2 linked regions of the Elephas maximus indicus genome follow. The protein of the gene in region 2 binds, or shares a complex with, the protein of the main gene of each other region. Links are inferred from orthologs where the notes say so. Each region holds a gene or a part of one and is shown on either strand. Other genes may lie near its edges. The genes, in order: PELO and HBS1L.

Region 1 (10,487 bases), on a different chromosome or scaffold from region 2:
TCAACTGCCACATATCAACGGCTGGCTGCTACTCAAACTTTCTGAAAACGTTTTCTCTAACCCCAAGATAGCATGTGGTGAAGTCCAATAAGAATGTGGAAGCACGAAGGCTAATGCCACATACAAATCCATGTCCCTCCCCCAGAAAAGAGTGTTTCAGTGGGGTCTGGATTAGGGGATACTTTTTGCCCTGGAAACCCTGTTGGTGTAGTAGTTAAGAGGTACGGCTGCTAGCCAGAAGGTCAGCAGTTCAAATCCACCAGGAGCTCCTTGAAAACCCTACAGGGCAGTTTTACTCTGTCCTTTAGGGTTGCTATGAGTCAGAGTTTGAGTCAAGAGTCAACTCAATGGCAACGGGTTTGGTTTTTTTGTTTCTTTTCAGCTTTGCCCACCAAGTAGCCACATGACCAGCAAGTCACACCTCACGTCTCATTTTAAAAATGAAGATACCTCAACTGGATTATCTTGTGAATCTCTGGCAGGTCAAAAGTCCATGATCTAAGAATAGCTGATTAAGTGGCCCTCTAAAGCAAACATGATTAATTCTAACAACAAAACAGGAGTTTACTTTTAACATGATTGGTTTAATACGTCTTTTAAGGAAAATTCCATTTTAAATGTGTGCAAGAAAAGTCTCCTGGGTTAGGTCTCTGAGCATTATTCAGCCTACCACACAACATTTCTAATTATTTTTAATGTATCTCAACGTGGTTCCCAAACATAATTAAAGCTATATTTACCTGTGAGTTGATTCAAATATTAATTTTAAATAGCATTATTAAAGTATATTTCCAAGGAATACTTTAAGCTTGTACTTTTAAATTACTCAAATTATTCAGTTTTCAATAACTTATAATTAGTAAAACCACTTCAGATTAAAAAAAAAAGTCTCCTAATGGTTTGGCTATAGCTTAAAATAGAAATAAATTTAAATCCTAAAAAAAAAATGGAGTATGCACAGAGGTAGGGGCAGGAAGAAGCATCAAATGCAGTTCGAGAACACCATGAAGAATTAACCTAAGCATAATGTAAACTGCGGATAATGAGGTAAAAACTTTTCCTACGGAAAACTATTTCAAAGTACACAGCATGGGGTTTTATGATATCTCCCAAACAATACATAGGTATTATTATTATTGGACACACAGAACTTTTCTAAGTACTGCAAATAACTGATCATTCCTATACAATGTTTTCCCAATTAATAATGATGGTAATACACAGAGATTTCTTTCACAATTTATTTTTTTTAGTTTGAATAAATGTCCTGCTAACCAAAAAATAAGCTTGTGACCTAGTGTGATCAAATACATCAGAGATCCCTCTATGAGTCAAAAAGTGTCACAAGGATGCTAAGGAAACATATAGCAGAAGTGAGGCAGTGAGGCAATAAGGTTGTCTCAATTACATATTCCAATCATTAATCCTCTTCAGAACTAGAATCATCCTCTTGGTCAGAGAGTTCAGGGACAGGGAAGCGGAGAATGGCAGCCACTCCAGTCAACTGACTGAGCTGTTCCCCAGATACATGAAGACTGGAGAAGATCCTAACCGTGCCTGCATTTTCTTTCACACTGTCCACCAGCCTCACGTACCGGCTCCGTGTGGCTATGTCCTGGTGTCTGAAGAGCTCATCGCTGATGAGCAACGTGTCAATTGCCATGGCCTCGTTGGCCTTCTCCACCTGCTTAAGTCCATAAAAAGCTCGGTCAGGTTCATGCTGTAACATTTTATAGAAGTCATCCAAGGCTTTTACTTCCCCAGCAGCTTTAGTGTCTGAAAGGCGGCTAGCTACAGTAGGGTCACAAAGGGCCTCTTTCAGGGAGTATTTGTGTCCAGAGGAGGCATGTACCTAGAATCACAATTACAAAAGTTAGACAAGAAGTCTCTTAGGGCATCCATCCATCATCAGCCACAATGACCTAAGACCGAAAGCACTAATAAGACTTTATATATGTTTAAGAATTTCAGTAGAAGTTACTCTATACATTTGCTGGTATTAAGAGTTCTCTTTAAGAAAAAAACAAATCGTATTCTATTTACCCCATTTCATTAAATCATTTACAACTGCAACCCTAGCAAAGTAAAGCCTTTTCCTCCTTTACTTTTTCCACTGACAAAACTTCAGCAGGAGTTTATACCAGTCCCACTGCCCCTTCTTAATGATCCCTAGGTAAGACTGCTTTACCTGCAGGAATTTGGACCGGTTTTCCAGCAGCACTTTGTTGTCAGTCTTCACTGCTTGCTGAAACATGTAGTCGCAGAACTGCTCCCTCACAAAGCCTGGGCTGGCCACCAGGATGCACTTTACAATATCGAAGTGTATGTGGCGCTGGATGGCCTGGACCACCTGTTCATAGAACCGCTCCAAGGCCCGGTCATGCTGAGAGCAGTTGCCTTTCCGCTTCCTAGGGATGTTCACCTCCACCTTGGCCCGAGTTAAGGTCATGCTGGGAGTGACTAAGCAGATATGGGCGAGGCCTTCCTGCATGACCACAGCTGCCACATCAGCGCTCCAAGCCGGGTCGCAGGCCTGCTCAATGCGCTCTAGCACCACACTGTCCCACTGCTTCTTGGCTAGGGTGAACTGGCGGTTGGGCTCAAGCTCAATGGTGTGGTAAGCCCCCATCTTGACATACTCATTCTCTTGGATGTTGGTCCCTTTGACCCGAAGCTGGCAGGCTTGAGAGTCGAAGTCGATGGCCTCCACGCAGAGAGTGAGGGTCGTGCGGACTCGGTTGCTTCCCACGCTGCCCGTGGAGGACTCGGTCTGCACCTTTCGGATGGTGGAGGCGCGCAGGCTGTCGCCCACCTGCACTAGATTGTAGGTGTGCCACATGTCCTCGGGCTCCTCGGGGACCAGGGTCACCTGGCCCGCGTTGTCCTTCTCAATGTCCTTCCTCACGAGCTTCATGATCTTAGAAGGGGCTCACGGCCCGAACAAGAGTGGGACTCCACCAGGAAAGGGGCAGGGAAGGAGGGAGGGGGCGGGGCCCGGTTTCGCCGAGCAGTTGTCCGGCGGGAAGGAAGTATTCTAACTCCAACTCCTGCGGCCGAGGGGAGCACTTACTCTAGTAGCCCTTCATTTTCCAGTCTCGGAGCGCGCCGCGTCAATCGAACGCGAAAGAAGCTGTAGGGACACGGACTCTTTCGCGGCTCCAGCCGCCGGCACAGACCAAGCGGCTGATGCAACGAGAACGCATGCGCACCCTGCCTCCCGCCTCCCCCCCCACCGCTCCGCTCCCGGCGCAGGTTTTACGTCTCCCACGGGGAGGCGTGGCCGCAGTTTGCGCGTGCGCAAGCGCAGTAAACGTGGAGGTGTCCTGGCAAGTTAACCCCAGGGAAAGTACCGAATCTTTGGTGGCGAGTCTTATTATAACGCTAGACGTGCGTTTTCCACGTTGCCTCTTCCTTCCTCGTTTGTGAAGAATCTGAGGAGAATGTGAGTGTAAACATGTTTGTTTTCCACGTGGGTGCAGTTGCCACTCTATCTGATTTTAAAATGTATCTAAAAGTGAAAACTCTCAAAAAGTGCAGAATTACCCCAAAGGTCCAAACTAAGCTCGGTTTTTCTCCTGCCTTATTCGTACTCAGACGCTACACGCCTGTTGGAGCTGGTATTTGCATAATCGGTTTCTAAGAACGAGTGGTCAAGGTCCCTGGGCAACGAACCTGGCTGTTTTCGGAGCGTAGTTATCGTGTCCGTGCACGATCTGATTAAACCGGATGTCTAAGCACTGATCCCAGAGAGAGAAGAAACCATCTGTGGAATTTACCCCTGGGTGGACTTCTCAGTTTCTTGACCTGATGTCCTGGGAATCCCAGAATCCAAACTTGGCAGTCACAGCTTTCCGCAGCTCAGTAGCCTGTGAAATGTCTATGGTGGGGGTTGGTTTAGGGTGGTGGGGCAGAGAAACATCTTCCCTGTAATAGCTTAGGGCCCGAGCTTTACTGACCAACCTAAAATGAGCTGGGGATAGTGGGAAGTGGGGGGAAACTGATCTATTAACTGTGAACTACCCCAGTGTAATAGCTACAGAATTGATTTTAAAAATCAAAGTCTTGATTATTGAAACTCAAGTCTCAAATATCTACATCAGAGATTGTCAGGGGACACGTAGGTCCCCTCCAGGGCTATAGTTTAAATTAGAACTGCTATTTCCTTTGTGGCCTTTCTTCCCTCTCAGCTTTTTACTAAGCACGGAACTGATCGCATTTGAATGTGAATGTGACTTGCCTCTCCAAAGCACATTGCATCTGAACTGGTAGAATAATTGTGTGTGTGTGTGTGTGTGTGTGTGTGTGTGTGTAAGAGAGAGCGTGCGTGCGCGCCTGCACACATACACAGGGGAGCTGTGTGTGTTTATGTGTGTGTGTAGAGGAGGGGAAGTTTTTGGAGCTGGGGAGCAGAGGTTGCGGTGTTCCTGGATCACCTTTCTAAGTACAGTTCACCCCCCCCACCCCGCCCCATAGTCTGCCGAGAATTAAAACCACAGAATCATGGTGCTAGGAACACAACGCAACATAAAAGAAATCCATTGCTGTCCAGTTAATGTGTGCAGATTAGAACTGTGCTCTATAGGGTTTTCAAGGCTGTGGCCTTTGAGAAGCAGATTGCCAGGCCTTTCTTCCAAGGTGCCTCTGGGTGGGTCTTAACTGCCAAAGTTTTGGTTAGTAGTCCAGCACTTATCTGCTTGCACCACCAAGAACTCCTTCTAGGTGCACAGTAGGATCTTAATGAATACTAGATTTTTACTAAAGAGCTATCATTTATTGAGTACTTTCCAGTTACTTTCCTATGCTGTTTCTAATCCTCACCCAAAGGGAAATATTTGTTATCCTAAATTTATAAATGGAAGGAATGAATTATAGGAAAATTAAGATCACGTAACCTGCACTCAAATTCAGACCTACTTAATTGTAACTCCATACCCTCTCCCCTTTATACTACCACAATACTATATTATGAATGCCGTTATCCACTGTAATCAAAGACTTGTAGCTTGGGAAGTGACCTAGATGATTTAAAAAGGAATGATCACTTCTCTGCTCCTTCTTTACCTCTTAAAATCTTTGTAATATTGTTTTCCAGTTAGTTTTCCTTCTGTTCAGTCTAGGTCACCATTATAATCCTTGAGAAAAGTGTTAATATTCTACTTTAGAAAAATATACATATATTTCTACATTTAAAACCTGTGAAAACCCAACACTGACCCTTAATTCCTTTTATTTTTTTAATTATAAAGTAAACTGTTCTGGGCTCTCTTTTTTATGTACATCAGCGATTGAACATACTACACAATTTTTCATAAAAATACTCCTTGGTCTGAAACATCTACAATGGTTTACAACTTTTTTTTCCCCCAGTTACTTGAGCTTGTTGAATGATCAGATGTTCTCTCTGAGCTTTTGTGTTATGACTTAGTAATTCTAGACCAATCATTATACTTTTATTTTATTTTTGGTCCCCCTTCCCTATTAATGGAAGTCCAGACTCCCTGACATTCAAAGCTTCAATGATTCCTCCTTACAAGCTTTGTTTCCTACTCGTCCCCTTCAGAACACCAGCTGCTGTCAAGCTGAGTCCAACTCTTGGTGATCCCATGTGTGTCAGAGTAGCACTGTCCTTTATAGTGTTTCAGTGGCTAATTTTTCAGTAGTAGTTCGCCAGGCCTTTCTTCTGAGGCACTTCTGAGTGGACCCAAACTGCAAACGTTTGGTTAGCAGCCAAGTGTGTTACCTCTGTGCACCACCTAGGGACTCTACTTGTCCCCTCAAGGCACCCTGTATTCTACCATGGGAGTAGCCTTTAGTCCCCAGATGTCCTAGGAACTTTCTCCTTTGCTACCTTAGCTCACGTGTTCTCTCTAAAGTGTCACTTCCTCTCATCCCTGCTTCCATTCATCCTACCTGTCTTTAAGGGCCAGCTTAAATGTTATCTTTGACTTGGAACTCTGCATTGTATTAATTCAAACACATATATTTTATTTCTTATTGACCTCTGCACAGATATATCCTGGTATCCCCCCAGTGACCAATGCAGTGTCCTTTGCACATAGTAGGGACACATATGAATAATAAGCTAAGTCATCAGATGTAAAGAGCACCAGCGACATTGTCATCACAGACACTTCTTAAGGCATTGATGTCGTCATTGATTATAGTTAATTTAAGAATGATAGTTCAGAAAGTGGGGTCCCTCGGTGGCCCAAACTGTTAATACTCAGCAGTTAACTGCAAGGTTGGTGGTTTGAGTCCATCCAGAGGGGCACTGGAAGAAAGGCCTGGCAACCTCCTTCTGAAAAGTCAGCCACTGAAAACCCCAGGGAGCACAGTTTTGCTCTGACATACGTAGGGTTGCCATTAGTTGGAGTTGCCTTGATCGTTTAGTTTAAAAAGCAATTCCTCTTACTTAAAAACTGCTCTGGTTAAAGATATATTTTTATTCTTTATCAAAATAAGCAAAATCATAAGGAAAAGACCACGGTTTAACTCTGTTGCTTTAAATTCTATTTTATACTTATTGACTCTTTGAAGATAGAAAACTTTGTATCAGTAATTTAATTACACCTATTTTTTCCCTATAATATTGTATTTAAATCAATCTCTCCATGGAAAAAAAAAAAAGTGTCATTATCTCCAAAATTTTTCTTTTGTTGTTTTTGATACCCTTCCAGTGTCTCAAAAAGAGAACTGGGCTAGAAGTCAAGTGTCCTAGATTGTAGATCTTACCCTCTCAGTTGTTTTTACTGTAGCTTTTGGCAACACGCACTGTCTTTGAAACTCCGTTTCTTTTACTTAAGAATTAAGGGGATTGAATTTAATAATTAAAATTGTTTTAATTGTAAAAATTACAACAATGCTAATTTAAAAAAAAACCATTTTTGCACATTATCTTTTGCATTTGACTCTTTCTAAGGCCTGGTGACACAACAGTTAAGTGCTCGGCTGCTAAATGAAACATTGGCAATTTGAACCTACTCAGCATCTCCGCAGGAGAAAGACCTGGTGATCTGTTCCTGTAAAGATCACAGCCTATAAAAACCCTATGGGGCAGTTCTACTCTGTTACATGGGGTCACTGAGGCAAAAATCAACTCAAGGACACCTAATAACAACCTATCAATAAAAGGCCTTATTTAGTGGAAAAGACTGATTCCAAGTTTAATGACTGGGCAGCAAGAACCAGCAAAGTTACGGTCTTTTCTAGCTAGATTGTAGCAACTTTACATAAACTCCCTGACGGCTATAAACCTAACCTCCTTCATTCTAAATCACAAATAAGGTTAGTTGCCCTGCCTTTCATTTGACAAGCCTTATGTGATTCAAATGAGATCGATACCTTGTAAACAGTAGAGTCCTATAAAAATATAAGGTACTATGATAAATGTATAAGAATGCCTGGCTTGGAGCAGTCCAGAAATCTGCATCTGACAAAGCAATGGGCAAAGGGCTCGCTGATTCAGTAACTGATTCGGTCGAGAGTTAACTGATGGATAACCTGTTGGGTGCATGTGTTTATACTAGTACCTACTTTCCAAGAAAACTTTAGTCAGCCCTACTATACGAAGCAGTTCATGTGTCTCATTGGTAAAATGGATCAGAATTCTCCTCCTTCATATAGTAATAATATGTAAGACATGGTTTGCATGACAGCAGCAGGATTGTGGGCTCCTGAAGGATGAGAATCTTGTTTGAATCCTCGGCCCTTACCACCAGCACCAGTTGCTGTCAGGTCAGTTCTGACTCATGGCAACGCCATGTGTGTCCGAGTAGAATTGTGCTCCATAAGCTTTTCAGTGCCTGATTTTTTTTTTGTTTTGGAAATAGACTGTCAGACCTTTCTTCTGAGGTGCCTCTGGGTGGACTTGAACCTCCAACATTTTGGTTAGAAGCCAAGCGCATTATTCATTTGCACCTCCCAGGGACTCAGTCCTTAGCGCACACACACACACACACACACACACACACACACACAAAACTTTGCTGTCAAGTCCATTCAGACTCATAGTGACCCTAAAGGACAGAGTAGAACTGCCCCATAGGCATTCCAAGGAGTGGCTGGTGGATTTGAACTACTGACTTTTTGGTTAGCAGCCTAGCACTTTAGCCACTGTGTCACCAGGCTCCTTAGCACAGTGACCCTTAAGTAAAAAATCCCATTGCCATTGGGTAGATTCTGACTCACAGCGACCCTATAGGACAGAGTAGAATTGCCCCATAGGGTTTCCAAGGAGTGCCTGGTGGATTCGAACTCATGACCTTTTGGTTAGCAGCCAAACTCTTAACCACTGTGCCACCCTAGGATAGTAGGGGCTATATAAATGTTCTTGTTTCCATCTTCTATTTTGTTATAAGACAAATCTAATCATTTCATCCCTCTACAATGTCTTGGCAGCACTTCTGATCATTAGTTCTTTGCATGTCTGTTGCCTCTTCCAGATTGTGAGCCTCTTAAGAGCAGAGACCCCCTCTTATTTGCCTTTGTATTCCTGGAACCAACCACTTGTGCATAATTATGTTTGTTATGTGAAAGAATGAGTAGTAGTTCATTTTCTTTTAATTCAGTTTTTAACTTGTTTATCACTCACATCCTAAAATAGGAAATCATGGTGGTCTGCTTCAAAATGTTACTTAAAATTTAAAAAGAGATTACTCTTAAGGTAAGTTTTTATAAATCTGTTTTAAATTTTAAGACATCCATGCTTGGGTAAGAAAGTGATTATTTTAAACATATCTTACTGAGGAAGAGGTTTTTAAATGTTTTAAATTAAAAAAAGTTTTATTATACATAAATCGGACAGTGATCTTTACAGAATAAGTAGCCAGAACTCTGATCATGAATATCTGGTGATACATGCAGCCATTTATTTAGAAAGAATGTACTAGCTTCAGATTGTAGAAAGACTGCCACGTGACCTCCATAAACAAAGCTAAGTGGACAACTGGGATGAATATTCAGCTAACTCAGGCAAAGGGTAAAAAGGAAATTTTTTTTAAATAAGGAACTTTTTGTACTTAACTTACTATCTAAATTTCCGGTGACTAAAAATACTTGCAGTTGTCACAAAGCAATACAAAGCCTGCCATCAAATAAAATCCTGTCAACGGGTGTGTGTGTATGTGTGTGTGTGTGTGCGTATATTTCTGTGTACATATCCCTATACAGTACAGCATCATTTTGCCAGATACATTACAAGAAAATGCATTACACAAATATTTTTAAGGGTTGATCAATATCCATGTGTTTTCATACATTAGTATTTGGCCAACTGAAAGTCTAGTTAATACTAGGCTTTAAGATAAGAGGAAATTTTGATGAAGGGTAAGACAGTACACAATACTGGGGAAGTCAGCATAACTTGACCAACGCAAAGTCATAGAAGCTTCATAAATGCATCCAAACTCCCTGAGGGACCGAGTTACTGGGCTGAGGGCTGGGGATCATGGTCTTGGGGGACATCTAGCATAATTGGCATAACATAGTTTATAAAGAAAATGTTCTTTAGCCTACTTTTGTGAATAGTGTCTTGGGTCTTAAAAGCTTGTGAGCAGCCATCTAAGACATTACACTGGTCCCACCCTATCTGGAGCAAACGAGAATGAAGAAAACCAAAGACACAAGGGAAAGATTAGTCCAAAGGACTAATGGACCACAGCTACCACAGCCTCCACCAGACAAAGTCTAGCACAACTAGATGGTGCCTGGCTACCACCACCGACTGCTCTGACAGGAATCACAATAGAGGGTCCTGGACAGAGCTGGAGAAAAATGTAGAACAAAATTCAAACTCAAAAAAAAAAAGACCAGATTTACTGGTCTGACAGAGACTGAAGAAACCCTGACAATATGGCCCCTGGACCCCCTTTTAACGCAGTACTGAAGTCACTCCCGAGGTTCACCCTTCAGCGAAAGATTAGACAGGCCCATGAAACCCTGGTGGCGTAGTGGTTAAGTGGTACGGCTGCTAACCAAAGGGTTGGCAGTTCAAATCCACCAGGCGCTTCTTGGAAACTCTGTGGGGCAGTTCTACTCTGTCCTGTAGGGTCGCTATGAGTCGGAATTGACAGCACTGGGTTTGGTTTTTTGGTTTTTTATGAAGCAATAACACACATAGTTCAACCACGTATATGAGACTAAATAGGCACACCAGCCCTTGGGCAAGGACAAGAAGGCAGGAGGGGATAGGAAAGCTGAATGAATGGAAATGGGGAACCCAAGGTCGAGAAGGGGAGAGTGTTGACACATTGTGGGGTTGGCAGCCAATGTCACAAAACAATATGTCTATTAATTATTTAATGAGAAACTAATTTGCTATGTAAACCTTCACCTAAAGCACAATAAAAAAGTCTAGTTAATAAAATAGTTTTGAAAGTACATTGTAATTTGTTTAAGTGTGTGCAATCTATAATAAAATAAGTAGACTATTCCTTTTAATCATTTAAAGTTCTGATGTGATTTAGGGGCCCTATTAAAACTTAAGATTT
Region 2 (10,926 bases):
AGAGTAAGAGAAAGATTTCGATCAAAGACTGTCTTCACTGGAAAGAAAATAGAAACGTTTTTCTTATACCGTGGCAGAGAAGAAATCTTTCTGCAAATAAGACAGAAGGTGCTGCTTGAGTGTGGTACCATACAGGAATCAGAACTCTAAATAACGTTGTAACTCTGACAGAAGTCTGAACTACATACACATACTTGGTTTATTTACCAAACTGTCTAATAGTACATGAACTAAAGTTCGATATGATGGGAAGTCTATGCATTGCACCTCAATGTCTAATATTCAAGAGATCCTATACACAGACTTCTAATCCAGATACTAGCCAAAATTTTCCAATAGGAAAAGAAGATAGAGCAGTTGCAACAGAACGTGAAACCAAAGTTCTGCCTATTTCTAAGGAAGAATCCAAGCAGTACAGAATAGTTGCAAAAGAAGTCAAGGCTTCAGAAATTATATAAATAATTCTGCAATTATTTAAGAGAATAAAAAAAAACTCAGTTCCACAAAATTTCTGAGGGCCTACTATGTGTCAGATACCCCATTCTATATAAAATAAACTACTACCTGCCCCCAAAAGTTTTAGAATCTCATTAATGACTAAGTTAGCACATCAATATATTTTAAATTAACTGCATATTTAAAACCATGTTGCAAAGAATACCGGGAAAACCAGACTCTTCAGAGTTTTCTTCAAGTTATTTAAGGTTAAACAACTTAAAACTTTAAATTTTCTTTATGGGTAAATAATTTATTTTATACATCTTTAGAAATTAAAATATAATTATCTTTTTAATGTAACATACTATTACAGTCTCATGGAGCACTCTAGTGTTTTTATGAAACACTCCAGAATGACAATAATATTTACTTGACATTTTTAAATGCCCAAATCATGGAAATCGATTTATTAAAAATAATTCACCTGTTGATGGAGAAATACAATAATCATCTTCTACAGACTGGCCATAGAGATCATCATCTTCAAAATCTAAAAGTAGAAACAAGAGATAAATTCATTTATAAGTTCTTTTACATTTTTCGTTACTAATGAGAAGGCCTCTAAATTCTCTTCAAAATAAATTACTCATCAAAATTAAAGGGACCTGGAATAATCCAAATTTTTCCAAAATTTTTCCAAAAATTCGAAGAACTTTCCCTACATAATAGGCATTTCCTGACAATCTGTATTTATAAAGACATACATGGTTATTCACTTTTTAAACTAATTAGGTTTTACTAAGTTTTTTTAAGTTTTTACTCCATTGGGAAACATGAAGTAAATAATAGTAATAAATAATAATCCTACAGACCACATACTTGAACAGTCTTTCCAGTGCTGGCAAAAACCTCTAACAAGCCATCCATCCATCTTTTTCACCAAGTGCTATCTATAACCAAAAGTACTTTTTTCCATACAACAAACTAGCACTGGGTATGCACTCTGACCATGAAAGCAGTTTTTCTTCATATAAAGCTAGGTCTGTGATGCTCAACAGGTTTCAGTGGAGCTTCCAGACTACGACAGATTAGGAACAAAGGCATGGTGATCCACTTCCAAAAATCAGCCAAAAAAACTATGAATCAATAGTCTAAGCTCCTTGAGCATGGGGTTGCCACGAGCCGGGGGGCTGACTCAATGGCAGCTAACAATCACCACTATACAAACCAGCTCACCCCATATAGCCTTGTGCTCACTCTGCTCTAGACCAACTGCCTTGTTTCCTGTTGACTGAGGGCTCTTCCTTCCTTCTGGCCGTTCCTTCTCCTGTCACCTCTTTGCACAAGTTCTCCCTGACTACCCTAGGTGAAACAGCAAGCACCTCTCCCCTATCCCTCTACTGTCTAGCATACTCTTCCATTTTATTGTCTTCAAAGCACTACACCTATTTTGCTCCATGAATATATAAGCTCCTTCAGGGCAAGCCTGTCTAGCCAACCATACTCGACACATGTTTGGCATGTATTTATTTATTAAAATTAAAATATGTTTTATTTTTATAGATTTTAAAGAATCGAAGTAAAAACTTCACGAAGAACATAAATATACCGGCAAAAATATATTTACTCATTCATTCGACAAGCACTAGCAAGATGTCAGGGACTATTAGAGACACTTAGGGTTCAACAGTGAGCAATGGGCACATTTCCAGTCCTCTCCAAACCTGAACTTTAATGGGGAACACAGACAATTACAAAACCATATGAACAGTGCTTGACATGAGAAATACAGAGCAATTTGGGAGCATATACAACCAAACTAGTATTTAAAGTGCATGGCTAGGGAAGGATTTCCAGGAATATAATATCTAAACCAATTCTAAAAGGACAGAGCTTGTTAGTGTCTGAGGGTATATTCTGAGCAGCAGAAACACCATGTTCAAAGGCTGACACCAAATGCTATGGCAAAGAAAAATTAGATAAGTGCTACTATCAGATAAAAACATGTAACATTTAATAAACTATTACATCATAATCCTGAGTTAGAAAATAACAATTTATTAGCAAATAAATAATGGGCCATTCACAAAAAAATTGGGTATTAAACACAAGGATCTTTTTTTTACTAGGTCAGTTTGTTGATACAAAAATTGATCCGTATAAAAAGATTGAAAGAATGGTTTCCTAGGATCTTTATAAAATGGCTAATTTCTTCAACAAACTTTAGTATTTTAGTATTTACATGTAAAGCACTGAGCCAGCTACTGAAATAAATATAAAAGCATGGATTTTGCCTTCCTGGGGCTTTTAGATGAACAGCTGAAGCAGTCATGTAAAGTACTATCCAAAAAAAAACAAAGTGAGAGTTAAATAGGGAAACAACAGGTTTTGGAGCACAAAGGATTAATTCTGAATGATGATAATGTCCGGGTAGCTTAAATGAGTAATTTTATTTCTATTTCCTTAAACTTTCTTTAATGAAATTATATTACATTTGAAAAAATTTTAATTATTATTCTGAGTCCAAGAGAAAGCTTAACTGGGAAGAAGATAAATGAATTGGACCCTGAAGATGAGTACAACTTTTATACGCAAGAAAGGGGAGTAAACTTCCTACACTATAGAAACAGCTTGGTTATGATGTCACCATTTGTTTCAAAGAAAACATGACAACTTGACCTCAGGTGGCCAAGGTGAGAAGAGACTTATCACTCACTCCCTCAGGTGAAGCACCACCTCCTCCAGGAAGCCCTTCTTAACACAGAAATCCTGCTTAAGCCCCAAACCATTCTGAATTAGGTGTCCTCATTTTTTTTTTTTTTATTTACATAGCCCCATATCACTTTGTAATTTTATGCAGCAACTCTAACACTCTATTCATCTGTTACTTGTAATCTCCCCCATAAAACTACCCTCAAATACCTTACTGTCAGTCTCCAAAGCTTAGAAAACAGTGCCTGGACACTCGATTAATGTTGACTGAGGAAATATCTATTCAAGAAATGAATGGGTACAATTAGGCCTATTCACGTCTTCTATATAATTGCAAAAACATCTCGCAGTCTAAAGCTACTTCTCAGATAACTGTGGCCCACAGCAATACTTGGATTCAACCTTAAAAACTCCTCCATTCTGGGGTGAACACCAGGAACCTAATATGCATTACAGTCTCCAAATTCAGCAGCGTGTTAGCTGCCCTCCAGCACGGTTAGAAGATTGTGATGTTCCCCGATTAATCTACTGGGGTGCCAATAATAGCCATTAACATTGTTAAGTACTTAATGTTCTGTACTTTATGAAGCAATAGTTCTTTAACTAATCTTCCACATTCGTTCATATCTGTTAATATTTTTAGTTTGTAAGAGGCTTGGTAATGCCTATAATTATTCATGGTATAGAAAGAGACGTTATGTTGTAAAACTATTTTCAACTCCCTTTAAACTCCTAGAGTACACACATATACAGGTTTTTGTTGCTGTTGTTTTCCATTTTTTTAATCAAAAAGTCCGTTTCCATATCCTCTTTCTTCTAGTACTGTTTGTTTTCTTTTTTCATTTCAAAATACAATTAACATTGAGCATTACCGGCTAAGACCTGAGTATACACCTCAAGAGCATCTGATCGACTTGCTATTTGGGCCTTTTTAGTATGTATCTTTTCCACGGTCTCCGAACTTTCTAACCTAACTTCATTAAAAAAAAAAAAAATTTATACTTAATATAAATTAATCAGATAGCTCAAGCCAGGTTCTGCACCAAATATGTATGAACATACACAAAAGATTTACTATGTAAATCCAATACAATTACACCAGGCCAGCTGAAAGTAAACATTAAGTCAGTCGGTGTTTGTCCCTTTCATGGACATTTTTGAAAGAGTCGGAAGAGGGGAAATAGAGCCACGTGCGTGCCCGAACTGAGAGGAAAGGAACAATGGGAGGGAGAGGTGACAATGCTTGAGTGCATAAATATCACCGAATCCCAACCTCACGAAAAGTCCTTCCCCTATGACGCCGTCCTGCACCTCCCCCGGCCTAAATAAAATCAATCACAGAAGGCAGAAACGAGGACTTGTAACTACACCATATGCTGGTACTCTGACGTCCTGTTGTGTGCCTCCCTCCGCTGGGCTTCCCCCGACTTCCAGACTGGCACCACTGACGAGGAACTCACAGATCGAAACAGACGGTGACAGGCTGCGATCCCGGCTGGAACAGAAAAAAGGCGTCCCGGCACGGCTTTGCTACCTACCTTCATCGTAGTTATAGCCTCGGACATTCCGATGCCGGGCCATGGCGACAGAAGAGGCGTTGACAACAACCCCTTTCTAAACACCCCGCTCAGTTATTGATAAAGCGCCAACAGGGGCCTGCAGGCCACCTATGCGCCATCTTGGCTTCCGGCAGGCCTCTGCGGCGAGCGCTTGCGCACGCGCAGCGTCTTATCTGACGGCAACGTCTCAGGGTCATTGCCCACCTCCCTGGAGACGCATGCGCACTCACGGGCTTTAGTCAGGCGCCCCTCCTCCCAAGAGATAGAGGTGGAGTTTTGGGGTGATCACGACCACAGACAAGTTGGCTGACAGGGGTTGCTAAGGCGCGGAATTTCACTGATAGAACTTTTGTAGTCTGACCGAGTATTGAGAGCGTCATTCCCAGAATTGTGCTAGCTTCCAGATTATTTTCCAAATTTGGTTTCTGATAATCTAGTGAAAAAGCTGACTGTGCGCTCACCAGGAGCAGCGACCTTGTTTTGTGCAACTTTGGAGTCCTACTTAGGCAGATAAAAGGCATTCAACAAACTTGTGTAACTTTGGTATAAGAATTAGTACAAGCTTTAAAGAAGGAAAAGGGCTGTTTTTAACCGAGTTGTTTTTAGGTACCGTCAAATCATTCGGACTCATAGCAGCCCTATGTACAAAAACAAAACACTGCCAGGTCTTGCGCCACGCTCACAATCCTTGTTATGCTTGAGCCCATTGTTGCAGCCACTGTGTCAATCCATCTCCTTGAGGGTCTTCCTCTTTTTCACTGACCGTCTACTTTACCAAGCATGATGTCCTCCAGGGACTGGTCCCTCCTGATAACATCTCCAAAGTACACGCAACATAGTCTCTCCATCCTTGCCTCTAAGGAGCTTTATCGCTGTACTTCTTCCAAGACAGATTTGTTGATTCTTTTCGCAGTCCATGGCATATTCAATATTCCTCGCCAACACCGTAATTCAAAAACGTCAGTTCTCCTTCAGCCTCCTTTACTCTTTGTCCAGCTTTCACATGCAGATGAGGCAATTGAAAACACCATGGCTTGGGCCAAGTGTACTTTAGCCCTTAAGTGAAATGGATTGTTGTCCTTGTTGTTAGGTTCTGTGCAGACGGTTCTGACTCTTAGCGACCCCATGTACAACAGAACAAAACACTGCCCAGTCCTTCACCATCCTCACAATCGTTCATTTGCTTGAGCCCATTGTTGCAGTCACTGTGTCAATCCATCTTGTTGAGGGTCTTCCTCTTTTTCACTGGCCCTCTACTTTACCAAGCAAGATGTCCTTCTCCAGGGAATGGTCCCTCCAGATAACATGTCCAAAGTATGTGAGATGTAGTTTCCACATCTTGGCTACTAAGGAGCGTTCTGATTGGGTATATACGGTTAAACTGAGAGCCTGGTTATGATAGGTCACCACATTTTTGTGTGATTTATGGCTTCATGTATGAGCAATCCTGCATTAATAACTAGTAAACAACTCTCTGCCCCTAGCTATGTAAAAGATTTTCATCAGCTTCGTAAAGGCTTCAGTAAGGATTCATTGAACATACAAAACCCTGCATAACATGCTAAGGGTACTAAATATAGCTTTATAGATATAGCACTGGCCTTCCTGGTAATGATGAATGTTATCGATGCATAAATATATAACCTGAACATAAAGCAAATGATGCTATTCATATATCTAAAATCCAATCTAATAATCATACTGAATAAACTACTAAGAAAAAAAAGATTTAAAAGTTGATTCAACTTTTTATTATCCGCAACAGAAATAATAAGATAACACAAATTTAATATGTGTTCATAAGTGACTTGGAATGTAATTTGTACATGCACCTGAATGTTTCTGATCACTGAATGCTTTTTAAACAGTGTTGCTGTTTAATGTAGCTCCAGGACAAAATCTGATACAAAAATGGAGATAGTTGTTAGTTTTATAGGGCTTAAGTGTTTTCCTTATATTAAATTTTTAAATAATTTTTATATTGCAGCCTGTTTCTTCTTAAAATGGAGATAATGATAGTATATACCTCATAGATAGGGTTGTATCCTTTCACCATACTTATTCAACTTGTATGCTGAGCAAATAATCCCAGAAGCTGGACTATATGAAGGGGCATCAGGATCGAAGGTAGACTTATTAGCAACCTGTGTTATGCAGAAGACACAACCTTGCTTGCTGAAAGTGGAGAATACTTGAAGGACTTACTCATGAAGATCAAAGACCACAGCCTTCAGTATGGATTACGCCTCAACATATAGTACTAGAGCCCCGAATAAGGAAACATTACTTGTGCCTGAGGGATAGCTGTCTAATTTGCCTCTTGGATCTTCAATAATGTACTCCTTTAAAAGTCTAAATAATTGAGAGCTTCAGCTGCTTTTCAAGCAATAGGGCCTTCAATGACATCCTCACAAAGTGCTAGGGGTTTTATTCACTGACCTCAGAACTCTTTTAGGTACCATTGTAATAGTTTTGTATTGTAGACTGATGGAAAGTGCCATGACTTTGAAGTCACACAAACCTGGATTTCAGTCCCAGCTCTGCCACTTTCTGCCTGTTAACTTCTTTCAGTTCAAGTTCTAGATGTAAAAACAGATGTCTTCTCTTTTGAGAAAATTAAATGAAGTGATGCATGTAAAAGCAGCAGATGTTACACAACAGGTTCTCAATAAATGCTAGTTCATAACCCACCAATTGGAAACTTTATCTCTGTTTCTCCAGCACCCTAGTGTCTGGCACTTTGAATGCTTCCTGAATGATTTAATGAATAAAAGAAAAGAAATAAAGTGATGGGTCTCTTGCTATGGGATATTCAGCAAATGCCATAAACAACTGCACAAATAATGCATATATACAGAGATTTGTAACAAAAAATGATAAGTGAAAAAAGCATAATTAATTACTGAAAAATTTTCAACAGTATTATTGGGATTTAAGGAGCCCTGTTGGTCCAGAGATTAAAGCACTCCGGTGCTAACCAAAATGGTAGTTTAAACCCACCAGCTGCTCCAAAGAAGAAAGATGTGGCAGTCTGGTTCTGTAGAGATTCACAGCCTTGGAAATCTTATGGAGCAATCGTATTCTGTCCTATAGACTGCTATGAGTTGGAATTGACTCGTTGGCAGTGGGTTTGGTAATCCTTTTTATTGGGGTTTAACTGACAAACACTAAAGTGGATTCAGAAGAGGACATGGAATGAGGGATACCTATCATTGATGATGTCAGATGAATCTTGGCTGAAAACAGAATATAAGAAAGATGTTTACTTGCGTTTTGTTGTATGTGTCTGGATTATAACAAATTATGGATGACACTGTAAAGAGTGGGAATTCTAAAACACTTAAATGTGCTCATGAAGATTCCATACATAGACCAAGAGGCAGTCATTCGAACAAAACAAGGGATACTGCATGGTTTAAAATCATGAAAGCCGTGCATCAGGGTTGTAGCTTTCATTATACTTATTCAATCTGTATGCTGGGCAAATAATCTGAGAAGCTGGACTACATGAAGAAGAATGCAGTATCTGGGTTGGAGGAAGACTTAGTAACAATCTGCAATATGCAGATGACACAACCTTGCTTGCTGAAAGTGAAGAGGACTTGAAGCATTACTGATGAAGATCAAAGACTACAGCATTCAGCATGGATTATACCTCAGTGTAAAGAAAACAAAAATTCTCAAAATTGAACCAATAAGCAGTATTATGATAAACGGAGAAAACACTGAAGTCATCAAGGATTTCATTTTACTTGGTTCCACAATTAACGCCCATGGAAGCAGCGGTCAAGAAATCAAACAGCGACCTACATAAATGGAAAAACATACCATGCTCATGGATAGGTACACTTAAAAAAAAAAAAAAAAACCCAGTGTCGTCTAGTTAGTTAGTTAAGTTAGGTACACTTAACACTGTGAAAATGTCAATATCACTCAAACCAATCAACAAATACACTGTAATCCTGACCCAAATACCAACGGCATTCTTTAAAGAGATGGAAAAACTAATCATTAATTTTATATGGAAAGGGAAGAGGCCCTGAATAAGTAAAAGCACTATTGATGAAGAAGAATAAAGTAGGAGGACTCATACTGCCTAGCCTCAGAAACTACTATACAACTACCGTAGTCAGTACAGCCTGGTTCTGGTACAACAACAGGCACATTGACCAACGGAACAGAGTTGAGAACCCAAATGTAAATCCAACCACCTATGGTTACCTGATGGACAAAGGCCCAAAGTCTGTCAAATGGGGAAAAGACAGTCATTTTAACAAATGTTGCTGGCAAAACTGAATGTCTATCTGCAACAAAATGATACAGGACCTGTACCTCACACCATACACAAAAACTAATTCAAACTGGATCAAAGACCTAAATATAAAATCAAAAACTATAAAGATCATAGAAGAAAAAATAGGGTCAAAGCTAGAAGCCCTAATATACAGCATTAACAGAATACGAATCATAACTAACACACAAACACTAGAAGATAAGCTAGATAATTGGGGTCCTCTAAAAATTAAACACTTATGTTCATCAAAAGACTTCACTGAAAGTAAAAAGAGAATCTACAGACTGGGAACAAAAATTTGGCTATGACAAATCCAACCAAGTTCTAATCTCTAAAATCTACAGGAAAATCCAACAGCTCTACAACAAGAAGACAAATAATCCAACTAAAAAAAATCAACAAAGGATATGAAAGAACACTTCACCAAAGAAGATGTTCCAGCTAAACAGATAAATGAAGAAATGCTTGTGATCACTAGCCATTAGAGAAATGCAAATCAAAAACACAATGAGATACCATCTCATCAGACATTACTGGCATAAATCAAAAAACAGAAAATAACAAATGTTCAAGAGGCTGCAGGGAGATTGGAACTCTTATGCACTGCTGGTGGGAATGCAAAATAATAACAATCATTTTGGAAAACAATATGGCACTTTCTTAAAAACATGGAAATAGAAATACCAATACGATTCAGCAATCCCACTCCTAGGAATATATCCTAAAGAAATATGAGCCATCACATGAATAGACATATGCACATCCATGATCATTGCAGTATTGTTCACAAAAGCAAAAAGATGAAAACAACCTAGGTGCCCATCAACAGATGAATGGATAAACAAACTATACTGCATACGCACAACGGAATAATATCCAATGATAAAGAAGCATCTCACAACATGGATGAATCTGTAGGGCATTACGCTGATTGAAATAAGTCAAACACAAAAGGACAAATATTGAATGAGACCACTACTATAAAAATTCATGAAAATATTTTAGCCCAAAAAGAAACCATCTTTGATGGTTACGAGGGAGCGGAGAGGTAGGGATGGAAAAACACTAAATAGACAATAGATAAGGGATAACTTTGGTGAAGGGTAAGACAGTAGACAATACTGGGGAAGCCAGCACAACTTGTCCAAGCCAAGGTCATGGAAGCACCATAGACACAACCAAACTCCCTGAGGGACTGAATTACTGGGCTGAGAACTGTGAGGACCATGATCTCAGGGAACATCTAGCTCAACTAGCAAAACATAGTTTATAAAGAAGATGTTCTACATTCTATTTCGGTGAGTAGCATCTGGGGTCTTAAAAGTTTGTGAGTGGCCATCTAAGATACTCCACTTGTCTCACCCCATCTGGAGCAAGGGAGAATGGAGAAAACCAAAGACACAAGGGAAAGATTAGTCCAAAGAACTAATAGACCACAAGTACCACAGCCTCCACCAGACTGAGTCCAGCACAACTAAATGGTGCTTGACTACTGCCACAGACTGCTCTGACAGGGATCACAATAGAGGGTCCTGAGCAGAGCTGGAGAGAAATGTAGAACAAAATTCTAACTCATAAAGAAAAAAAAGACAGGAACTGGAGAAATCTCGGGAGTATAGTCTCCAGACACCTTATAGCTCAGTAATGAAGTCACTCCTGAGGTTCACCCTTCAGCTGAAGATTAGACAGGCCCATAAAACAAAACTGGACTAAATGGGCACACCAGCTCAGAGGCAAGGATGATAAGGCAGGAAGAGACAGGAAAGCTGGTAATGGGGAATCCAAGGTCGAGAAGGGGAGAGTGTTGCCATGCTGTGGGGTTGGCAACCAATGTCACAAAATAATATGTATTAATTGTGTAATGAAAAACTAGTTTGCTCCGTAAACCTTCACCTACAGTACAATTAAAAAAAAAAAAAAAAG

Evidence for each region.
Region 1: HBS1L (region 2) and PELO share a complex: the UniProt entries of both Homo sapiens proteins name them as parts of the pelota-HBS1L complex. The link is inferred for Elephas maximus indicus from reciprocal best matches to the Homo sapiens genes HBS1L and PELO.

What each region holds. Positions count from the first base shown.
Region 1 is NC_064820.1:55,687,275-55,697,761, reverse strand, and holds the start of PELO (protein pelota homolog), read right to left. Parts: upstream 4,446-10,487; 5' UTR 2,915-4,445; coding exon 2,189-2,914; intron 1,853-2,188; coding exon 1,421-1,852; 3' UTR 1-1,420. UniProt on the Homo sapiens protein: Component of the Pelota-HBS1L complex, a complex that recognizes stalled ribosomes and triggers the No-Go Decay (NGD) pathway.
Region 2 is NC_064819.1:204,553,602-204,564,527, forward strand, and holds the start of HBS1L (HBS1-like protein), read right to left. Parts: upstream 4,866-10,926; 5' UTR 4,732-4,865; coding exon 4,689-4,731; intron 989-4,688; coding exon 923-988; intron 1-922. UniProt on the Homo sapiens protein: GTPase component of the Pelota-HBS1L complex, a complex that recognizes stalled ribosomes and triggers the No-Go Decay (NGD) pathway.